Linked DNA regions of Mus musculus: regions 2, 3, 4 and 5 are each reported to be linked to region 1. The links are microRNA targets in miRTarBase. Many come from high-throughput screens and were not tested one by one. Region 1 holds a microRNA gene; each other region holds the end of a gene's coding sequence. Distances are from middle to middle.

Evidence for each region. The annotated mature microRNA mmu-miR-1198-5p reads UAUGUGUUCCUGGCUGGCUUGG and lies in region 1 at 2,050-2,071, shown strand. An mRNA with a match to its seed (bases 2 to 7 or 8) in the 3' UTR can be bound and repressed. Matches are read on the target gene's strand: a 7mer-m8 pairs with bases 2 to 8, a 7mer-A1 pairs with bases 2 to 7 and ends in A, and an 8mer does both.
Region 2: the mRNA of Appl1 is a reported target of mmu-miR-1198-5p. Seed matches in the 3' UTR shown: 7mer-A1 at 2,603-2,609.
Region 3: the mRNA of Pdk1 is a reported target of mmu-miR-1198-5p. Seed matches in the 3' UTR shown: 7mer-A1 at 677-683, 7mer-A1 at 1,970-1,976 and 7mer-m8 at 2,767-2,773.
Region 4: the mRNA of Pgm3 is a reported target of mmu-miR-1198-5p. Seed matches in the 3' UTR shown: 7mer-A1 at 2,527-2,533.
Region 5: the mRNA of Rbm41 is a reported target of mmu-miR-1198-5p. Seed matches in the 3' UTR shown: 7mer-m8 at 3,839-3,845.

What each region holds. Positions count from the first base shown.
Region 1 is chrX:7,805,093-7,809,333 of GRCm38, forward strand. It overlaps Mir1198 (microRNA 1198), which reads left to right and starts at 2,009; the gene lies at 2,009-2,129. The region is part of intron 14 of Gripap1 (GRIP1 associated protein 1); the gene reads left to right.
Region 2 is chr14:26,919,880-26,924,120 of GRCm38, forward strand. Appl1 (adaptor protein, phosphotyrosine interaction, PH domain and leucine zipper containing 1) reads right to left here. Exons shown (of 22, transcript NM_145221.2): 22 at 1-3,992. The coding sequence ends at 3,849. Among named protein-coding and RNA genes, the nearest start is that of Asb14, 27 kb to the left of the region's middle.
Region 3 is chr2:71,899,636-71,903,876 of GRCm38, forward strand. It overlaps Pdk1 (pyruvate dehydrogenase kinase, isoenzyme 1), which reads left to right. Exons shown (of 11, transcript NM_172665.5): 11 at 349-4,223. The coding sequence ends at 489. Among named protein-coding and RNA genes, the nearest start is that of Pdk1, 29 kb to the left of the region's middle.
Region 4 is chr9:86,551,884-86,556,124 of GRCm38, forward strand. Pgm3 (phosphoglucomutase 3) reads right to left here. Exons shown (of 13, transcript NM_028352.4): 13 at 593-3,520. The coding sequence ends at 3,431. Dop1a (DOP1 leucine zipper like protein A) reads left to right here. Exons shown (of 39, transcript NM_177208.3): 39 at 2,133-3,923. The coding sequence ends at 2,438. Among named protein-coding and RNA genes, the nearest start is that of Pgm3, 18 kb to the right of the region's middle.
Region 5 is chrX:139,942,044-139,946,284 of GRCm38, reverse strand. It overlaps Rbm41 (RNA binding motif protein 41), which reads left to right. Exons shown (of 7, transcript NM_153586.2): 7 at 382-4,241. The coding sequence ends at 548. Among named protein-coding and RNA genes, the nearest start is that of Rbm41, 54 kb to the left of the region's middle.

The DNA.
Region 1 (4,241 bases):
CTATAATCCTAGCACTCGGGTACCTGAGGCAGGAGGATTCCCATATGCTGTAAGCCAGTATTGGTTGCATAGTGAATACTAGGCCATCCAAGGCTACATAGTAAGACCTTGTCTGAAAGAAACAAAAAACGTTTTAGATTTTAGGTTTTAGGATGAAGGATGCTTAGCCTGGAGAAACTAGAATAATACTGGATTAAGAAAGAAATTTGGGGCTAAACATAGCAGCACAAGCCTTTAAATGCCCGCACTTAAGAGGCAGATCTCTGAGTTCGAGGCTAGCTTGGTCTATGTAGTGAATTCCAGGACAGAAATGGCTACATAATAAGACCCTGTCTGTCTGTCTGTCTGTCTCTCTGTCACACACACACACACACACACACACACCCACACCCACACACACACAAAGGTTTAGTGCTGGTGATACAGCTTAGTTAACAGAGTACTTGTATAATATCACAAAGCCCTGGGCTTAGTTCAAAGCACTGCATAAACCAGGCTCTGTGATATTTATGTTGTGATCTCAGTTCTTAGGATCACACACACATAACAGAATAAGGAGGATCAGAAGTTCAAAGTCAGCTGGGTGTGGTGGCGCACGCCTTTAATCCCAGCACTCAGGAGGTAGAGGCAGGTGGATTTCTGAGTTCGAGGCCAGCCTGGTCTACAGAGTGAGTTCCAGGACAGCCAGGACTACACAGAGAAACCCTGTCTTGAAAAAACAAAACAAAAACAAAGCAAAAAACCAAAAAAAAAACAAAAAAGAAGTTCAAAGTCATCCTATGCCACAGACCCTCTGGGTCCCTTTGTCTGCGTGGAACGAGTCTCTGGGGCAGGTGGGCAAAGAGTGGGCGAATGAATGACAGACAGACGAAACACAAGAGGTTGTGTAGAATCTGAATGTAATTTGTCAAATTGCGCATCAAACTTTTTATACAGAAGAAAATAGGGAAGTTAGGTGACACATGGGCAAGGTACAAATGAGGTTACCGGATGCTTAATGACTCTTACACAAAACAGAGGAATGTAAACACAAAGACTGGCAGGAACTGGGCAATAAAATAACTGAGACAAAGTCAGCTCTATCTAAGGTCAGCTATAGTTTTAGGAGCCAGGTGTGAGATCTTTTCACTCCTAGGGCAAGGGCTTTCACACATAAGTCATGGTTCTGATTAGGGAGTTCCGATCTAGCTAACCATCTCATGAATAATGCAATACTCTAAAACCACAGCCTGATCTACTTCCTAAACCATTGTAAATTCCTGCATATGGGAGCAACTTGGCTTTTATTCTAAGTGATAGTGTAATACCAGAGGCAATTCTCAATATCACTGAATAGGCAACATTCTTACTAAATTCCAAGCCCATGGTCAGCTCAAGGACTTTCTAGGATGTTGGAACACTGGCGAAGGCTTAGCTATGTCAGAATTCAATCTTAAAAGGCACTTATAATAAGATAATACTAAAAGAGAGCATGTGGATCCATACACCAGACTAACGCGGAAATAGGGTATGAGTATATGGGTTTAATGAGAACACCAAAACTCCAGGAGGTGAGTTTCCATGAAACTCTTTGCCTCGTGAGCGCTTCCAGGCCTCTCGGCCTGCCAAGCAGATTTCAGCGGACTGTGCGTGGCAATCCTAGCTACATAGGAAGATGGAGACCAGTCTGGGCTACATAGGAGACTTGTATCAAGGTGCACAGGGGGTGGGGGTGGGGCACAGGTGGAGAGATGGTTCAGTGGGCAAGAGCACTTAGTAACAAGAGCAAGCATGAAGACCTGAGTTCAGAATCCAGCACCATGGGAGAAGTATGCCTGTAAGTCCCATGCTGGGAAGGTGGCAAGGTGATGCCAGGGTAGTTGGGGCTTGGAGGCTAGCCAGATTATCCAAAAACTGTGAGCGACAGATTTAGTGAGAGACCTTGGCTGAAGGAAATGAAGTCAAAAGTGAGAGGAGGATGGACCAAGTAGGCTGTTCAGGGATTAATGATAGCAATGATGGTGGATTCTTTTTTTTCTTTTGTTTATTTTGTTTGTGACAGTTGTCTGTTATGTGTTCCTGGCTGGCTTGGTACTCATGTGTAGCCCAAGCTAGCCTCTAACTCATGGCAGTCATCCTGTCTCAGTCTCCTAAGAGCTGCTACTATAGGTTTGAGCCTCCACATCTGTTCTGAATTATGGATCTCCAATCACCAGGGACCTCGGTTCTTGCTATTTTCCAGCCTTTGACACGGACCTGTGTTTTGCTTCCAGGAACAGTTGTTGAAACTGTTTCACTTTCATATTTACATCGTATGTGGAAGGAAGGAAGGAGGAAAGGGAACAGGGAATAGTAGTAAGGAGAACCTTCCTTTCTTTTGAGAACATGTTCTGCTGACTCTGGTGGTTCCTGCCTGTAATCCCAGCACTCAGAAAGCTCACACAGGGCTGGAGAGGTGCCTCCGCAGTTAAGAGCACTGGCTGCTCTTCCAGAGAACCGGGATTCAGTTCTCAGTGCCCACCTGGCAGCTCACAACTGTCTGAACTCCAATTCTGGGGCATCTGATGCCCTCCTCTGGCCTCCACAGGCACCAGGCATGCATGTGGGACACAGACATACATGCAGGCAAAACACCTGTGCATGTAAAATAAATAGATAAATAAAAATTAAAATAAAAACCTTAGGAGGATTGTGATTTTGAGGCCAGCTTGGTTTAAAAAAATAAAATCAAACCAAAACAGTCATAACAGGTGGTCTTTATTCCAAAGAGATGGAGGCACAGAGATCTCCTTGAGCTTGAGCCAAAGATACATAGGGGGACCCTCTCTCAAAACAAAGAAATCGTTAATAAGGGCTGGAGAGATGGCTCAGTGGTTAGGAGCACTAACTGCTCTTCCAGAGGCCCTTTGTTCAATTCCCAGCAACCACATGGTGGCCCACAACCATCTGTAATGGGATCTGATGCCCTCTTCTGGTGTGTCTGAAGACAGCTACAGTGTACTCATATAAATAAATAAATCTTTAAAAAAAAGTGGATGGTGGCTGACAATGTTTAAAAACAAAGAAATCATAATAATAAAGACTTAAGTTATACTTAACAATTCTAGATACAGATTAACCACCTGAGCTGTGCCCAGTGATGCTATTCCTAGCTACTTGGGAAACTGAGGTAGGATTCTTTCCATTAAGGAATCAAGACTCAGTCTCAAAAAAGAACACTGGGGCTAGATGTGGTGGTGGTGCATGCCTTTAATCCCAGCACCAGCAGATCTCTGCGAGGTTGAGGCCCCCCTGGTCTCCATAAGTTCCAGGACAACAAGGGTTACATAGAGAGATCCTGACTCAAAACAAAACAAAAAGAAAGAAAAAAAAAAAAAGAAAAGCGTTGTGGGTCTCAATCCTCTGTGCAGCTGCCCTTGGTTGGGGGCTGTCCTGCACTTCAGGCAGAAGAGCAGTGGCTGGAAAGAGGATGAAAAGGCTCTGGGGTCGCTCAACTCCAGTCTCCAGTTGGTTAGGAAGAGCAGAAAGTGCATGCTAGGAGACGAGCACACTCTGAAGAGGACCAAACAGGGAAAAATAAAATTGGTTACTCTTTCCAACATACCCATCTTTGAGGCGATCTGAAATAGAGTACCATTAGTCCATGGTGGCCAAAACTGTTGTGTGTCACTACAGTGGCACAATGTGTGGAAAATCATTACAGAGTATGCACACTAGTTTTGTTGACCCTGGCATTCTGATATTATAACAGACTGGTGAAACGCAAACCTGGAAAGTTTTTCTTTTCTTTTTCTTTTAATTTATTTTATGTATGTATACATAAATGAGCACAGTATCTGTCTTCAGACGCACCAGAAGAGGGCACCAGATCCCATTACAGATGGTTGTGAGCCACTATGTGGTTTCTGGGAATTGAACTCAGGACCTCTGGAAGAGCAATCAGTGCTCTTAACCACTGGGCCATCTCTCCAGCCCCTGGAAAGTTTTTCTTTAAGAAAACTTGCCAGAGCTTATTTGCTTACTTGTTAAAGAAGAGAGAGAGAGAGAGAGAGAGAGAGAGAGAGAGAGAGAGAGAGAAAACTCACGTGGTGGTGGCACACACCTTTAATCCTGGCACTTGGGAGGCAGAGGCAGGCAGATCTCTAAGTTTGAGGCCAGCCTGGTCTACAGAGTGAGTTCTAAGACAACCTGGGCTACACAGAGAAGCCATGTCTTGAAACAAAACAAACAAACCAACAAAAACGAAAGAAAGAAGGAAGGGG
Region 2 (4,241 bases), not on the chromosome of region 1:
TAGAAAGTAAGATGACTCAAAAAGAAAAGAAGCATGAAGAGAAACTTAGAGCAGTGGCCCAGGAAGCCAGAGACAGGAATGCTGGGCTCACAACCCATGTGGAAAGAGAGGATGGAGAGGCCCGTGAAAGGGATGAAATCCATCATGACAGATGAAAAGAGGCAGGCAGCATGACCGGATCCTTTCCAGGGCAGCTCCTGATAAGAGGTGGAAACCACAGAGAAATGAGAATCAAACGGTGAAGCCACTGCTCTAGGTGTGCCTAATCCTTCAACTTCCATTTAGTCTTAATAAGCTTATGCTATTAAGAATAATATTCCTGGAAAAGAAATACATAGGAATTAGCCCGATGGAGATTTTTAAAGTACTTTAAAAATACTTAGAAGTATTTTGATTAACATTAGTATTTTATGCTATTGAGGCTTATTAACAAAGTTTTAAATAATTTTTCCTTTAAAGTCCATTTCATCTTATCATTAAAAAAGTTCAGTATGGTTCTAGTTTAAAATCTTTATGTTATTAATGTAGAATGACAATTTCAAAGAGAAATAAACTTGCTAAAAATAAAATTAAAAGTTTGCTTGCCATATACAATGGTGTGTTTAAATACTTAAAAGTATGATCTAAATGCTCAGACTGTTATTAGAAGCAAATATTTCCTTTCATTCGTGTGTCAGAAGACTCTGCTTTAAGGGTCTGCCAGCACTGTCAGTTCAAACTGTGAAGAGTGCAGCTCCTGTAGTTACTTGTGTGTTCACTGCACAAAACCATGCTACCTACAATGTTATGCACATCTTACGATCCTTTTCTCAAAAATAACGGCAACATCCTCATCCCAACACTGTGGAGCTTGGAACACTTTTGAAATTGAACACCAATCAATCATTAAGTAATGGAAAAAAACAAGATTAGCTATAGGTAACAGAATGCAGAGTATAATTAGGTAGGCTAAATTTCATTTTTTAAAAAGCAACTTTGTTAATTTCTAAAAAGCTGGGAGACATGTAGCCAGGCAGTGGCCCTCACTCATGCTTGGTGTCCATCTCATTTCCTGATCAAAGCCACTTTAATGAGAAATAGGTACCAGTCCTCAGCAGGGGCCAGGATCCCTCAGGGGAGAGGGCAGAAGATGCCTGGGATCCAGCCCACACTACAGAGGCTAGGCAGAAGGAAGGAGGCAGCCACCTACTAGCACCCCAGCCCTGCAGGGTCATCTCAGCACCCAGGCCTCTCCCCGTGGCTGGGGCAGCCCTCCCCCCCCTCCCCCCAGGTGCATCTGCCCTCAGTTCTTTCTGTGTGATCTATTTTTTAAGAAGAGTTTGTGTTATTTTTTCATAATGGCTGTAGCAGCAGCTGCTGGTTTTGTTTTAGGTGGATGGGGCTGGGAGGGCCATTTCTTCGCTCTGCTTCAGTTGAACATCTAGGACGTATTAAAACAGTGAAGCTTTTCCAGGGCATTTTGAATATGGAAGAGAATCTGAGCAGACGCCCGCAGGACTAAGACTGAAGAGGCAAGGTCTACTTGCCTTGGCTCAGTGACCGTGACAGGAATGAACCCAAACTCAGAACAAGAAAATCAATTCTGTGCCTCCCCCAAAATAAAAAAGTTGTGGGAGATCTTGGCGGATAGTATAACAGAATGACATCTGTACTAACATTTAGGAAGAAGCTGACAGGAGCCTTCTTCAAGCAGAGAGCTGACTACAGCTGATGTGCAGAATTGCATACAGTTTAATAGTGATACAAGTTAAATCACTGAAACGGACTGATCCACTCAGAATGCGTCCTAGGCACTGGAACACATTTTGGTCTGACCCATGGACATGAACACAACTGGGGGAGTTCCTATGAAACATGACTTAAAAAGAATTAGAAAATTCTTACCTCTGGCCTAAATTTTTATCCAAATATCACTATTTTGTTACCATGCAAAGCACCAACCAAATAAAAGTGCCTCCTGATGACTACTCTTACTATAAAACACAGTTCATCTGAAGCAAGCATGACGTCTTCCATCAAGAAAAGATTCATGAAACTGAAAACCTGGGGTGGGGGTGTGGCTCTGTGGTAGTTTAGTAACTGATCACTGCGAAAATCAACAAACAAAAACAAAATAAAATCAATAGCAACAACAACAACAAAACAAGAAGCCTTACCAATATCAAAAAAAGTTTTAAAAGCAAGACTTGTCACCACTAATCACGGTCTAACCACAGCAGTTCACAGTTTTAACAGAGGAAACACTACTTACTATGAAGGCATTCCCTTTAGTAAGCCCAAAACAGACTTTTAGCCAAATGCACTCCATAAATTGATAATTATTAACTGTATGTTTGGGTAACAGAAGACTTTGAAGAGTAGTAAATAACCATTAGTCTCATTTGGCAAATGGAGAAAAAGAATATGATCCTATATATATCGTTATCTTGTTCCTACAGAAAACAGTGTACTTACAGAGTGTGAAACGGAGCTATAAGCTGAAAACTAAAACTTCTAATTCAGAACAAAGAGAAACTACTTGTGAAATTAGTGGTTAACCTTTTGAAAATCTCTAAATGTATGACTATGTAAAATACTAATCAATATATTTAACCTGTATACATATGTGTGTGTATATATACACACACACACACACACACCTTTTCATGTAGAATGAATGAAAATAAAATCTGTAAACACAGTTTAAAGTCCTAGTAAAGAAAGTTTTGACAGAATCACCCTCAGTACACGCTAACTCTGTCCTGCACTATATGAGGTGTTCAGTTCCTTTTCAGTCTTTCATGGAATTAGACCTTTTACTCATTTGAAAAGTAAAAGTATTTACAATTATTAGTGCAAATTATTCTACACTCAAATTAGTTATTTGCCTTTATGGATAAAAAGTGGCAATTCAATACATTATCAAAATGTGGGATTATGAAAATACTGGGGTTATCAGTCTGAAATTCAAAAGATTGTTTTCTAAACTAAACTGCACATTTTTATTTAAGCAATAAACATAATTGTTATAGAACATCTTTTGAAATGTCACTCATTGTCATTTAAAAATTATTTCACAATACAGAAAATACAATGTATCAGTCTACAACACTCCCTTTACATGTCAATTCTAATATAAAATGTTTGAACAACAACAATCTCAATAAATTCTGAAGTCTTACTCTCTAACCTTTCCTGTTCTGCAGCAATAAGTAAAGTCCCAACCTGAGAACTGAGAAGATGGTAACAAAATACCAAGTGCCACACAAACACCAACAGACACTTGAGGTCTCCCACTGCCATGATCTAGTACATCAGAGAAATGGAGCAAGCCACAAAACATCCTGAAGTCAACAGCACCACCTGCCCCGTCCTTGTGATTTTGTGCAAATTCTATTGCACACTCAATATTGTTACAACACTTGCACACTTATAGAATTCTCCACATAAAGGATGTTAAGCTCACTCAATTGAGCCCTCCCTCACTACCAATAAAACATTCCTAATGAAAGGGAGAGTATACACAGGAATGTCAGAATCCAAGAATAAATCATTCCTTATGGAGACAGCCAATTACAGTGCAAGATAAAATGTTCACAATTTAAAGGAAAAATATCTTGAAGACCTGTAATTCCTCAGCAATCTACTACAGAAAAGTAAGCAGGTCTTGTTTAGGAAAGCAGAGTTGGATGACAATGCATAGTATTTTATTTTTACGGGGAAATGTTCGCTATAACCGGTTATCAAGTTCAGTCTTTTTAAATGAAGCTGAAGCACACTACTGTAAAGCTTATCTCTTCCATGATCTTCAGCATGGATACGCTGTGCCACATCCCAGGGAAATGAGAACTCAAAAAGCAGCAACAAGTTTATGCTTCCGACTCTCTTTTTTTCCCTTCTTCTCCCAAATCACTCTCCTCTGATTGGCTACTGCTAAGAACAAGCTGGCCCTCACTACCAGCCTGGTTTGGTCTACTGGAGGCAGCTATCAACCGACTCTGTTCTTCCAAGTCCTGGTGGAAAGATAAAGAAAGAAACTAAATTTAACTGTCAGCAGTCAGATAAAAAACTATGCAGTTTCCGATGGAGCTCTACTATACATGAGAGCTGTTCCAATCTTGTCACATGCACTCATTCTGATAACCTAATGAAAAGAAAGGCTAGATGCAACAAATGAAAACACCAGCATGAATTTTGGCACCATTTGAATAATCCCAAAAAGCAAACATGCAAAAAAAATAATTAAGAAAGAGCAAAGCCCC
Region 3 (4,241 bases), not on the chromosome of region 1:
TGAAAAAGATTGGCTTTCTTCTCAATAAATCTGTGTATGAATATTAAGGTAGTAGTAGCAGACTCCTGGCTGGGCTTGCACTTTTCAAGAGATGTCTGTTCTGCTTGGGTAGACTTTTCCAGGCTGGCTAGCGGATACCTGAAGCATCAAACCCAACTAGTGTGTTACCAGTGCTCCAGTTGTAGTAAATAGCATTTCCTAATGTATCCACCCTGAAGATGGTGTGTGGTTAGTAACTAGTTGATGAGATGCCAGCAGAACCCTGTTTACTTTGTGGTCGCTGTTTGCCACTGTATATTATCTCAGATAACGAACTCTCAGAAGTGTCTGACTTCTTTTCAACCCCAGGCTCTGTCGACAGAATCCGTCGAGAGACTCCCTGTGTACAATAAAGCCGCCTGGAAGCATTACAAAGCCAACCACGAGGCTGACGACTGGTGTGTGCCCAGCCGAGAGCCGAAAGACATGACCACATTCCGAAGCTCTTAAACGCACATGGGACGCCTGGCACATCCACATGTGGTTTCTGCTAAATTTGGAAGACATGTATTTGGAACCACACTGTTCCAAATATTTCACGTGTGATCTTCACAATTAGTGTTTGCTGAAGCTCCTAAAGGATCGGTTATGCCAACTGTATTCTGATGTGTTGGGTTAATTGGGCGTGGTTTTGAACACACATAATTTTGGTCAACTACCCTTGGTATGGTATGGGGTGTGAAGTTCCTGGTTTCTGTAGGAAGCTGAGTATTTCTTTCAAGTTTTCACTTACTTCTGCTAGAAGCATCTGAAGAACGTGGAGTAGCTGGCTAGCGGCCTCTCTGCTTTTGGAGTTCTATCATCTGTGAGTGGTGACACCTAGTCAGATGGTCTTCTTATCTCCCACGAAGAACAACACAGTGATCCGTTAGAACCCACACAGGTTGTCAGAGTGCTGAAATGAATTGATCATGGCATCATTTTTTTGCAGTGGATTGTAATGACTGGTTCCCCATGGAGCTAAGTCCAGAGCGTGGTTATCGAGTTTACTGTCAGCACAAGGGATTTTCTTTAAAAACAAAGTCTCACTGTGTAGCCCCAGCTGGCCTTGAGCTTACAAAGCCCTCGGTGTCCTGAGCGCTGGAATGAGAAGGGTGTGCCACCACATCTGGCTTACAAGAGAAACGTTAGTCCCAAAACAAGCCAAATGGCAGCAGAGAGTAAACTGTTTGGGAAGCACCAAGTGGCCCAGGCCGAGCTGACCGACTGCTGAGGTGATCTGAGGATGAGCGTGAGATTCTCTGGGTCCCACCCAGGGATCCAGAGGCTGAAGGCCAGGGACCAGGTGAGGCTCATGGCTGGCCTGGCTGGAACTATATTTGGGAGTGAATCGTGACTACTGCTGTTGTCAGAGTGACAGACTAGATTGGGAAGCTTGTCGGGTTGCTACACATTAGGGGACATAATCTGAATCTCAAGCCTGGTGCAAGCTAAAGCATTAGCGGGAAGACCAGGGTGACAGCGAGAGGTCAGGTGACCAAAGGCTCAGCCACCTTGGTTTCCAGTGGTGACTAAGAACATGTATTTTTCTAAAATATCCAGATTTTTTTTTTAAATCAAAGAAAAGTCAGCTTATATTAACTACAGAATTCATTTGCAGCTATGTGTTGATTTAAAGTCTGCAACAAACGCTTTGAAGTATTGATGTTATTTGTGTTAGAATACAAACCTATGGAGCAGGTAATGACACCTGGGTTCTCTCTCAGTGACCCAGAGTCACACAGAATTGGTGCCCCAGCCTGAGCTGTCTCTGCTGATCACTGTCCACTGTCTGGGATATTTATAACCTCCTCTGTTAGGTGATGGGGAAGTACTTGGAAAACATGCTTTGCCACTTGCCTAGAGGGATTTGGGGGTTTGGTTTGGAAAATGTAGTGAGTTAAAACATGTCACTCTTGACATGTTTTATCCAGTCTTCACTCTGTGTCCTACACATACATACATCTGTAATACAAAAGCCAAATCATGTGACATGGCACAAAATAGAACTTTGGTGCCAGTGATAGGAACATGCAGCCTGAGCATGCGCCAGGGTGGTCAGCCCAGATCCTTAGCTGAGAGGTGAGGGGCCTGAAACTCAGGTCCTATTGGCCCAGGGTTTTTAGCTAATACTACCAAATGTTGGAAAATATACACCGTATACCTGCTGTTTCTAATTGAGGACTTTGTAAGAAATAATAGATCATGCTCCTGAGTGGCATTTATTCAGTGTATTGCACTTACTAGCTTTCAATTACACTTTACTGCAATGATGAAATATTTTGGAATCTTTTGTACAACTGTCAATAAACGTACTATTTTTACTTGTGAAATACTTTGCCCTCTCCAAGGAATTAAAAAAAATTATCCCCCTCTCTGCTTAAGAGCTAAGAAATGTTTTCAGACAAGAAGAATTTAAAATTAGTTTACTTTAGATTCTTTTTAAGGTGTAGCACCTTTTTGCTCTGTTGTAATGGTAATGGATGGAGACAATGTGACAAAGCTCTAGGGGACGCTTTCCAGAGTTACTTTTAAAGACACCTGGAAGGTTTTTAGATTCTTAAGGTGAGCCATTTTGTCTGCCAGCGATAGTTTTATGTGGTTTAGGTATGAAAATAGAGTTGATGGTTGGGGAATGGACAGCAAGTGATTTTTATAACCTGGGCAGTTAGTGAGTGTGCCAGTGTAGTGTAGGAAAGGATTGTAAGAATATTTCACCAGGCAGTGGTGGCGCACGCCTTTAATCCCAACACATGGGAGGCAGAGGCAGGCGGATTTCTGAGGCTAGCCTGGTCTACAGAATGAGTTCCAGGGCAGCCAGGGCTATACAGAGAAACCCTGTCTCGAAAAATAAAAGACTATTCCACACTGTAATTCCAAATGCTGGCTGGTTTTGATGCCTTTACATTTAATAATGGTCAGTGTCTTACACTGAGATTTCTACATGAAGACATAGAAGCAGAATTCTACCGCAGCGTGGTGCATTTTCGGGGTGACTGAAAACTGAAAAGATGGATCAGCTTTAAAAAAAAATTTGAGCCACTTAAGGATCTTAGAAATATACTCGTGTCCTTTAGACAGCAGTCTGTTTCATCATCAAGACTCAATATCTGTACAGGTTCAACGAATTGTAACTAGTTGCCAGCACTGGCTCAGTGGGTAAAAGCATGGCCATCAAGCCTGGGTTAGGGATAGGGTTGGAGATCTTTCCTCAGCACGAATGGTGGAATTAGAGAAAGAACCAACCATCCTGTGAGTTATCTGTGGTTCTCCACACGTGCACTGTGCACATGCGCATCCCCTACATACACCACACTAATAACTGTAGCCAGGTGTCTTGCACTCTCAACCATCTCCTAGCAGTGCTTGAGGCAGGCTTGCACTGTAGATAGCCTAGTGGGCAAAGCAGGTAGAGTTCGTGTGCTTAGAGTTATCCTAGATTTCCCTTTTCTAATACACTGCCAATGATTGACATGTGCTGGAGAACTGGTGGATAATTTTGAAGAGCTGTATAAGTAAGTCATTTTCCACAGTAGAAATAACAGTAGGGAAAGGCTTAGTGTAACTGGCACTGCCTTCTACTCAACACTGGTGGAATCTCCTTTAGTCAAGACAGAGTATGTCCTATTGCTCGTTGATAGCGTGGGTCCACCACGCCTGCCTTTCACCGTTACAGCGGCATGGCGGCACACACCTGTAAGTAGATCTCTGAGCTTGAGCCAGCCTGGTCAACATAGGGAGTTTCAGGTTAGCCAAGGCTACATGTACGGACCCTGTGTGCTGTATTTTTTTTTTTTTTAAATCAATGAGGTCTAAAACAACTACAGAGGAGGAAAGAGTTGTGTGGTTCTATGAAACTCAGTGAGTGGCTAATTAGAGAGGGACCCCAGCCAGCAACCTTCTCTTATGTCATCAGGTTTACAAGGAAGTACAAAGCTTGAAAGGAGAGGTGGCCAGGGTTAGGTTTGGTTGTTTTAACTGAAGGAACTTCTCATATCCGATTAACTTGTGTTCTCAATACTATTAATTCTTCTCTCAGTCAAACCCAAGACACTATAAAAAAAATAGAATTAATGCTTTGTGAAGGAAAACAACGCATTGCTATTTTACACAATCCTGGCATTCTTAAATGACTGTATCACTTGTTCTACCTTTTGTGTTTGCAAAGAATTAAACAGTGTGCTGTCCACTTTTCTTTGCCTGTAGTCTTCATATTTCTGTAG
Region 4 (4,241 bases), not on the chromosome of region 1:
ATGTTTACTAAGTAATTGCCACATTAAATGTTACATTTGTAAATCATTTACTAAATGTTTCTTGTAAAGCTCAGAACATTATCAAGTTTATTTGGAAAATAAGTTCTTGGTTTTGAAGATTTATTTTTAAGAAATCTGTTTGTCATACTCAAATTTTAAAAAAGATAAAGAAAATCTTTATTAATATTATTTTTAAATTTTTTACTTTCAAAATGAGTGAAACCACTGGAACCAGTGCTTGTAAGTACTCTTGAGAGTTTAGTGTGCTCAGAGTCAGGTTGATGCCATGATGAACACAGATGTGAACTGACGAGAGCTGTGCTCAGGGGTGACTGCAGAACAAGCCTGTCAGATTAGCCTCAAAAAGGAAATCAGAAGCTAGGCGTGGTGGTGCACGCCTTTAATCCCAGCACTTGGGAGGCAGAGGCAGGCAGATTTCTGGGTTCGAGGCCAGCCTGTCTACAAAGTGAGTTCCAGGACAGCCAGGGCTACCCAGAGAAACCCTGTCTCGAAAAACAAAAACAAAAAAAAAAACCCAAAAACAAAAACAAAAAACAAAGGAAATCAGAAAATGAAAAGATCAACACATAATAAAGTTTCAATAAACTTGACAGAAATACTTTATCAAAATTGAATTAGCTAGATAGACTTCTTTAATAATATTTCCTAATATTTTCTATAAAACTCTTGTTATGCCATGTTTCAGTTTTGCATATCCACCCTACTGCTGCTCCCTGTAGTTTTAGAAACACTGCTGAGAATAAAGCCATCTACTAAATGTGACTACTAATCAGAAAGTTAGTGGAAGAACTCAAAAATACAAATGTCTAAAACATTTTTTAAAAAACCATCTATATAAAGGAAATCAAGAGAAAATGAGAATTACCAAAATCTGTCTCATGAATAAAGTGTAGAAGTTAAATTCTGTAGTTTATACATGCCTTGAATCCTTTATAATTAAGTAAGGATCAGGCTAACCTTCGGGCCAATCTTGGCCCTGAAGCAGAGGGGTAAATGAAAATGGCATTTCACCATTGGGCCTGTGTTAATACCTGTCTAAGTGCAGAATCTTAACAGTACATAGAGTTAGGGCTCATGTGAGACCAGGTCTGTGTGAACTCACACGATTTGTTTCAGCAGTAATGAAGCTGTACTCGATTCTCTACAGAGCAAAAGGGAAGAAAGCAATTAGGAGCTTTACTTAAAGGACATGAGGAACTTGCTTCTTTAGGAGCCAAATAAAAGGACAAAGTTATGGACCAAAAGTCCATCCAGGACTTAAGGACAAAAGCATTCCTTTTTTGTCACAGGATTTGAGGAGGAAATGCAGATACAGTGACCATTCATACGACTGTAGGCCTGTGCCCTCTGCTGTCCTCCACAATGACCACAGATACGGCAGCCATCTGCACCAGAAAGGATCTCCCATCCCCATCCCTTTAAACAAGGCCTTCATGGCCAAACACACTTGTTACTCGAACAGGGGCTATGAGTTCTCCTCTTTCCTTCCACAGGACGAGGAGGACTTTAAGATTTTGGAGGGATTGGAGATGGCCAAGCATCAGGTGAGGGTGGCTATTGATGCATATGATATGGCAGCAAAAGCAATGACAGGTAAACAGGAAGGAAGGCACACACCTGTAGACTTGTGAAGTCAGAGGAGGAAATGGTCATATGGAGATATTTGGTTATTTAGTATGGAGGGCAGGTACATAAGAACAAAAGACCACTGAAACTGTGCTTTTCTTGGTTAAGAGCTCAGGGCTGTGAGGGAAGGGTCACACTTTTAAAGGAAAAATCTCCATAGGAATATAAAAAGTAATTTTACCATGATTGTCTTGTATTTCAAAATTAGCTATAAAGGCTGTAAGCATCATTTACTTTCTTTCAGGATAAATTGATTTGATTTGGTTTGATTTTTAGGAGACTAGAGGCAATATGGTAAACTGTGTGACAGCATTTGTTAATAATGAAAGTCCATGGTTAACTTTTCATTTAGATTGGCGGCTAAAAGGCTTCAGAACCAGTGGACTTCGTCAAGTCTGCAGTGAAGACTTGATGCTGGCATTTGTCTCCACTTCTCACATAACATACGTTACCTATTAGTAACAACTCCTTTTTGTGTTTTGCAGAAAAACCCAGAGGAAGACTGCTCGGGGAGGACACTGGGCTGGGAGCCAGGGCACTTGCTGCTGACGCTCTGCACCATGCGCAACATGGAGCAGCTTCTGCCTTTCTTCAATGTCCTCAGCCAAGTCTTCAACAGCAAAGTCACAAGCCGCTGTGGCGGACACTCAGGGAGCCCCGTCCTCTACCCAAACTCCTTCCCAAACAAGGACATGAAACTGGAGAATCACAAAGCCTTTTCCAGCAAAGCCAGGCAAAAAATTGAAGAGATGATAGAAAAGGACTTTCTAGAAGGAGTCATAAAGACTTGACCACCACCAGTGGTTCTCCAGAGCCTAAATGGAATACTTAAAACACACTGCTGAGTTGTATAGTTTCTTTTTCTTTTATATATATATATATGTGTATATGTAACAAAGCATTATTCAGGTTGTATTTAATTTAAATATTTGTAAATAAGAGCTTATGTCTGAATGTGGCCTGAATCAAGTTTAAATATATAGGTGGCTCATACTGATGATGGTGCCTACAAGGTCTATATTTGCATATATAGTCCATTGTTTCACTGTCTTGGGTTGTCTTAAACCTGCAAAATACACACCACGTTTTCTTTTTTCCTGCTTGGTCTCAAGCCTCATTTAATTGTTAATTGTTGTTTTTCTTCTTTCTGTGGTTAATAATGTCCTAGTATCAGAATGGTCACTTGGTTGTCAGAGGCTTCAGGTATCAGATGGAGCTGTGTCCCTTCGCTGAGCACTAAAGAGTAGCTGAAGCCTGGACCACACACTCTAGTGGGCACAGCACAGAGCTCTGCCAGTACAATGAAAGATGGGCCACCTGCCAGTTCTGATGCTGCTAAGCAAACCAGTCAGTCATTTCTTCCTCACATTGAGATCCGCATGGGAAATTGGTTCATACGAAATCTCCCCATTTGAACCAGGTAGGTCAGTGCTACAAAACATCTTGGTTAGGTAAGCAATCGAAAGGGGCTGCAAAGAAGTTAGTAAAGTTTAATTTCCCAGTACCCTTCATGAATTCACTTCATACCCTGTAAAATTAATGACACTTGAACTATTAAAACTTAATACAGATTAAAATCAGAGGTAAGCTTCATTCCCAAGTCTAAGATTTTGAGCTTCTAAACATTTTTTTCCTGGTAGCATTTAAAAACCTATCTAGAAATAATCCATTAACATGCATGACATGTTGATGTCATGATTACAAATGCCCTAGTACTGCCAATATTATAAAGTGTTATAGAAACATTTTAGAAGTCCACTTCTCCAGAATATAAAATTTATCTTCAGAAAGTTGGTTGTGGTCTTTCTCCAATGCCTCCAGCCAGCTGGAACACCAGCAAACTCACTTCATAGGCAAGCCTGTCTGCGCTTTCCTGCAAATCACAGTAAAATTAAGTGAGACACAGTGCCTGCAGCCATTCCTGGCTGTCCTAGGGGATGCTTCCTGACTTTGTTTCACAGAAGTATTCAAATAACTTCTTTTTCATCTTTCAGTAATAAGGTTCAAAGCCCATATTTAAAATGGGCTGGATTCTTCTAAATAAGATTTTCAGTTCTTGAGTTTATAAGTTATTCCAAAATTAAGTAACTTAAAAACCAAACCTCCCTAAGTAATTCTTAGAATTTACATCACATAGTCATTGCCATGTAAAAAGTAACTGTTTATCTCCTGAGTCCGCATTCAACCACAGTATACATAAAGAACAAATGATGAAAATGCAGAAACAGAGTAATAAGAATCTAGAGAAAGATTTGAACAGTAATTACAAAGTCCAGAAAAAAAAAAAGCAAGCATTCAGTTAATTTGGACATACTAAAACTGGCTGCTTCTACAAACTACAGTTCTAAAGAGGAAAAAGAATAATCTATAATACATTAAAATTAGCACATGTCAGACTAAACTAAGGATTTATTAGTTATTCCTGTACAGCCAGAACACACCCTCAAGAATCTACAATAGAGAACACTGTTTGGGAACAAATTAAAGGGGTATAAACTGGACCTCCCACTGAACTCAGTAACTTTTCAATCTTCGTATACTAAAGGGCTGTATTCACAGATCCCAGAGGGGAAAGCCACAGTGAGATCCAAACA
Region 5 (4,241 bases), 130 Mb from region 1:
GGTGGTGACCGGAAGGATTTGTGACCCTGGTCAGGCCGGGTTTTCTGCTTCTTTAGTGCTGTCTCAGGTCCCGCGCAATTGGATTGGAACAGAAGTTGTGTTCCACTCACCATAGGTCCTAAGATCGAGTGGAGAGTCCTCTAGGGACCTTCTGGTTGTCCACTGACTCCACGCCCAAGGTCACCCGGTGCTGGCCTTTTGTCACTATTATTGCCCATTAATTTAATCTTGACTACTTATACAAACTGGGGATTGCAGGCACGACAAAAACATCAAACATCATTATGATTTTTTATAGCACACAAATCCAAATTAACCCTGTAATATAATTGAGTGATTAAGCACTATATAATTTGATGCATGTTTCTTATTTTTTTCCAGATAAAGACATAGCATGGCAAGCACTGCACCAAATTAATGGATATAAACTCTATGGGAAAATATTGGTGATAGAGTTTGCAAAGAGCAAAAAGCAACAGTCAGCTGTTCAGCGCTCTTCCCTTATAACATCTGCTCCTGATGGCAGAACAGAAATCAATGGCAGCTAGGAATTCGTATCTACACACATGTACATGCACATTTGGATATATGTATGTAAATGAATATTCAGATGATTTTTCTTTTCTCATTTCTTAGATCAAGAATATGTAAATTCATAAAAATTTGTTGAAAATTGAAGAGGAAATATAAGAAAGAAATTAGGACAGTTGCTCTCAGCATTTGGAGAGAATTGATAAAAGTATTTTCTTTTTTTAAGATATATTTATTTATTTTATGTATGTGAGTACAGTGTAGCTGTCTTCAGACACACCAGAAGAGGGCATTTGATCCCAGTATAGATGGTTGTGAACCACCATGTGATTGCTGGGAATTGAACTCAGGACCTCTGGAAGAGCAGTCAGTGCTCTTAACCTCTGAGTCATCTCTCCACCCTAAAAAGTATTTTCTATAATTAAATACTGTATAGTATTGAAAAAGATTGTATAAAATTGACAATATCCTGGGTGTTAAAGATAATAATGAAACACTATATATGGCAGAAAATACCCTGAGGGGTAAGACCATGTGAAAACCTTTAATTCTCAGGATACATTACATAGGACTGTTCCTAAAGATCCCAAAAATCCTTTAATAATTTTGTAGTCTTCAGTGTTTAGTCCTAGAGATAAGACTTTTTCTAGGAGTGTTTCCTGTATACGAAGTTTTAAAACTAACCCAGTGTTAAAATATTTCTTTACTGAACTCAAACTGTGTTTTGTCAGAACCTTCAACAGTTTCAGTAGGTAGATTCATAAGTTTATTAACTTAATGATTGCTTCCACACTAAGTTTTCAGAGTCCTCAAAAGCATATTTATTATTATGACATCTTTTAAACCAAAATATTGGTAGTCTATGATACTATTGCATTCAAAACAATATCCATTAAACATGGAGTATCTGTCTAATGTATGAACTTTCAAGACAAATGAACTAGCATCTATATTAAAGGGACAGGAAAGAAAGTTCTTTAGAGGAAAGGCAGCCTGCCTCAAATTCCCTAGTGATTCGTTTATAGTTGTTGAAGAAGAAGAAGAACCTAAATGGTTTAGACGGTAGAACCAGCTTTGGAGTCAGACCTGTGACCCTCAAAGTCACCCATGTTTACCATCCTGAGCTTAGAAAGTCACTCACTCTGAGCCTCATTTATCTCATCTATAAAAAGTAACATTGCTTCTGACCTCCCTGAGTAAGGGTTAAATGAGATTATAATATCCAAGGTATTATATTATATTATATTATATTATAACAAGGGGAAAAATGAACTTTAGGGTACTCCACTAAGTACATCAAACAACATATAATAAGAATTTCATTCAAAAGCGAGAAAGAAGCATAAAATACTACAAAAGGTCGAGTGAAATGGCTCAGTGAGTAAAGGCATTTGCCACCAAACAGGAAGACCTGAGTTCAAACCCTCAGACCTGCCAATAATAGGACAAAAAGGCTGGGAAATAATGCTATAGTTTCTTTAAAAATCCTGTAAATCCATAGGAACAAATAAAACAAAAGGGAAATAAGGTGGCTAAATTTTACTAGGCTGTAAACCTAATTCTGCTTCCTAGAAGTAACAGAATTATATTGGTAGTTGTACTGTTCTGTTAGCCCTACAGTGTGTTGAAAGAGTTCGCATGGCTGAGGAAAGGGAAACAAAAATGCTAGAGATAAAGATCCACTTTGTGTTTAAAAGGTTGGTGTTTTAAGATGTGAGAATTTTAATCACATATTTTCATAACTACAGAGCCCTCAAATAACCTGAAACAAGGTAGCAAACAAAGTAAAGAATGAAAGGAGAAACAGGCACATCTCCAAACTGGTGGGTACTCAGTGTCTCCTTCCTAATACAAGTACTGCTGCACAGTTGATAAACAAGGAAGTAGCCAGTTTCAGCACTGGATGCTGGATAGATCTGAAAGACAGCTCTAGAATATAGCTCTACTAGAATATATATATTTTATCCCATGTATATGAAACATCTTTAGGCTAGATCATGAACTGAACCACAAAACAGGCCTTAATAAATACAAATGGACTAAAGTCTTGTCAAACATGTTCTCTTCCACATGGAAGAAGGTTACACATCAGTACCAATAAATCGGGAAACTCACAGATAAGTGAAAATTAGTGATAACTTAAAGACCAAGTCGGTCAATAAAGAAGCGGGAGAGATGGCTCAGTGCATAAGAGTACTTACTGCTCTTGCAGAGGACCTGAGTTTGATCCTCAGCATCCACACTGATGGTTCCCAGCTACCTTTGTCTATATATGGGATATGCTTAGAGATAAGCCTATTCAATGAGAAGAAAGACCGTGTAACAGTAATTCACTTCATATCTTAAGCCATAGGAAAATAATAGCAAACTACACCTAGAACAAACAAAAAGGGGAAAACATGCAAAATGCCTGAGAATAGAGTACAAGAGAGAAAATGCAAGGAATCCAAGCGAGAAACTGGCAAGCCTTTTGCTACATACAGCAGGAAGAGGTAGAATGTAATCATTAGTTTGAGAAATAAAGGAGGGAATGTTGCTACTGACCTTTGAAAAATAGAAGGTGTGTGAGGGAGTACTGTTGTACTCATGTGTCAATAGATTAACCTACTAAAAATGAACAAATCCCTAAAAAGATAAAGTACCAAGAACCAAATATAGGAAGCCAGAATCGACCTACTAACAAATAGGTTAAAGAAGTCACAAGACAGATAAGCCACAACAATACCTATACTTAAGTTGCTTTAGATTTGAAATCTAGAGTTCTACTAAATGTTTAATAAAACAGTAATCCAGTTTCTTCACATGCTGTTTATTAAGAAAATAAGGAATACTTCTGAGATATACCACCACATGGGAGAACCCTGAGAGTATGTTCAGGGAAAGAAGCCAGTCACTGGTGAGGACAAAATGTGCAATTCCATATATATGTCAAGTACAGAGTTGGTTTAAAAAGTGCATATATATGTAGTAATAAATGGTAGGCAAGAAAAGCTAGAGTGTTCATAAATTACATCAGTGGTTGTATAACAATGAACATACCAAGTGGGTGAATGTTGTGGTATGTGAATTAAATCTCAGTGAAACTCAAAAACATAGGAACTTGGACATTATCCAAATGTCCACCTGTCAACATGAGTGACTTTTAACTGATGGCACATCCATTTAGTTGGGTATTATGAAGCCATTAAAACAGTAGACTAGATCTATGAATATATTGTGACCTCTACTCATATCCAAGATTTTATATTAAGTTATAAGCTAAGATACATGTATGTATGTATTTATGTATGTTTGTATGTATGTATGTAACACATTTTTAAGCAAATAGTTCATGTGTATAGTTTGTAGAGATAATTTCAAAACAAATATAGGAATAAAATAGGAAATGTATATAACGGGCTGTAAACCTTCTGCAAGTGACTCCGTACAAGCTAAAAACAAAACACCTCCACCTTGGAAACATTTTTAGGTGGTATGATTTGGAGCGATTTTTACCTTTTTCACTACTTTTTAATTAAAGTAATTTTTAAATATTCTTACAAACACTTGGCTTCCAAAATATTAGTCAGACCTACTCTGAGGGTTTCTGACTTTACTCAGGACAAACTTGTATTCATTTGCTATATTGCTCACGCGATTAACACTTCAATTTCTCCTAGAGTTTAAGGGGTGGGACGTGAAGGAGCCACCCTGGTTACAGCCTCTTGCAC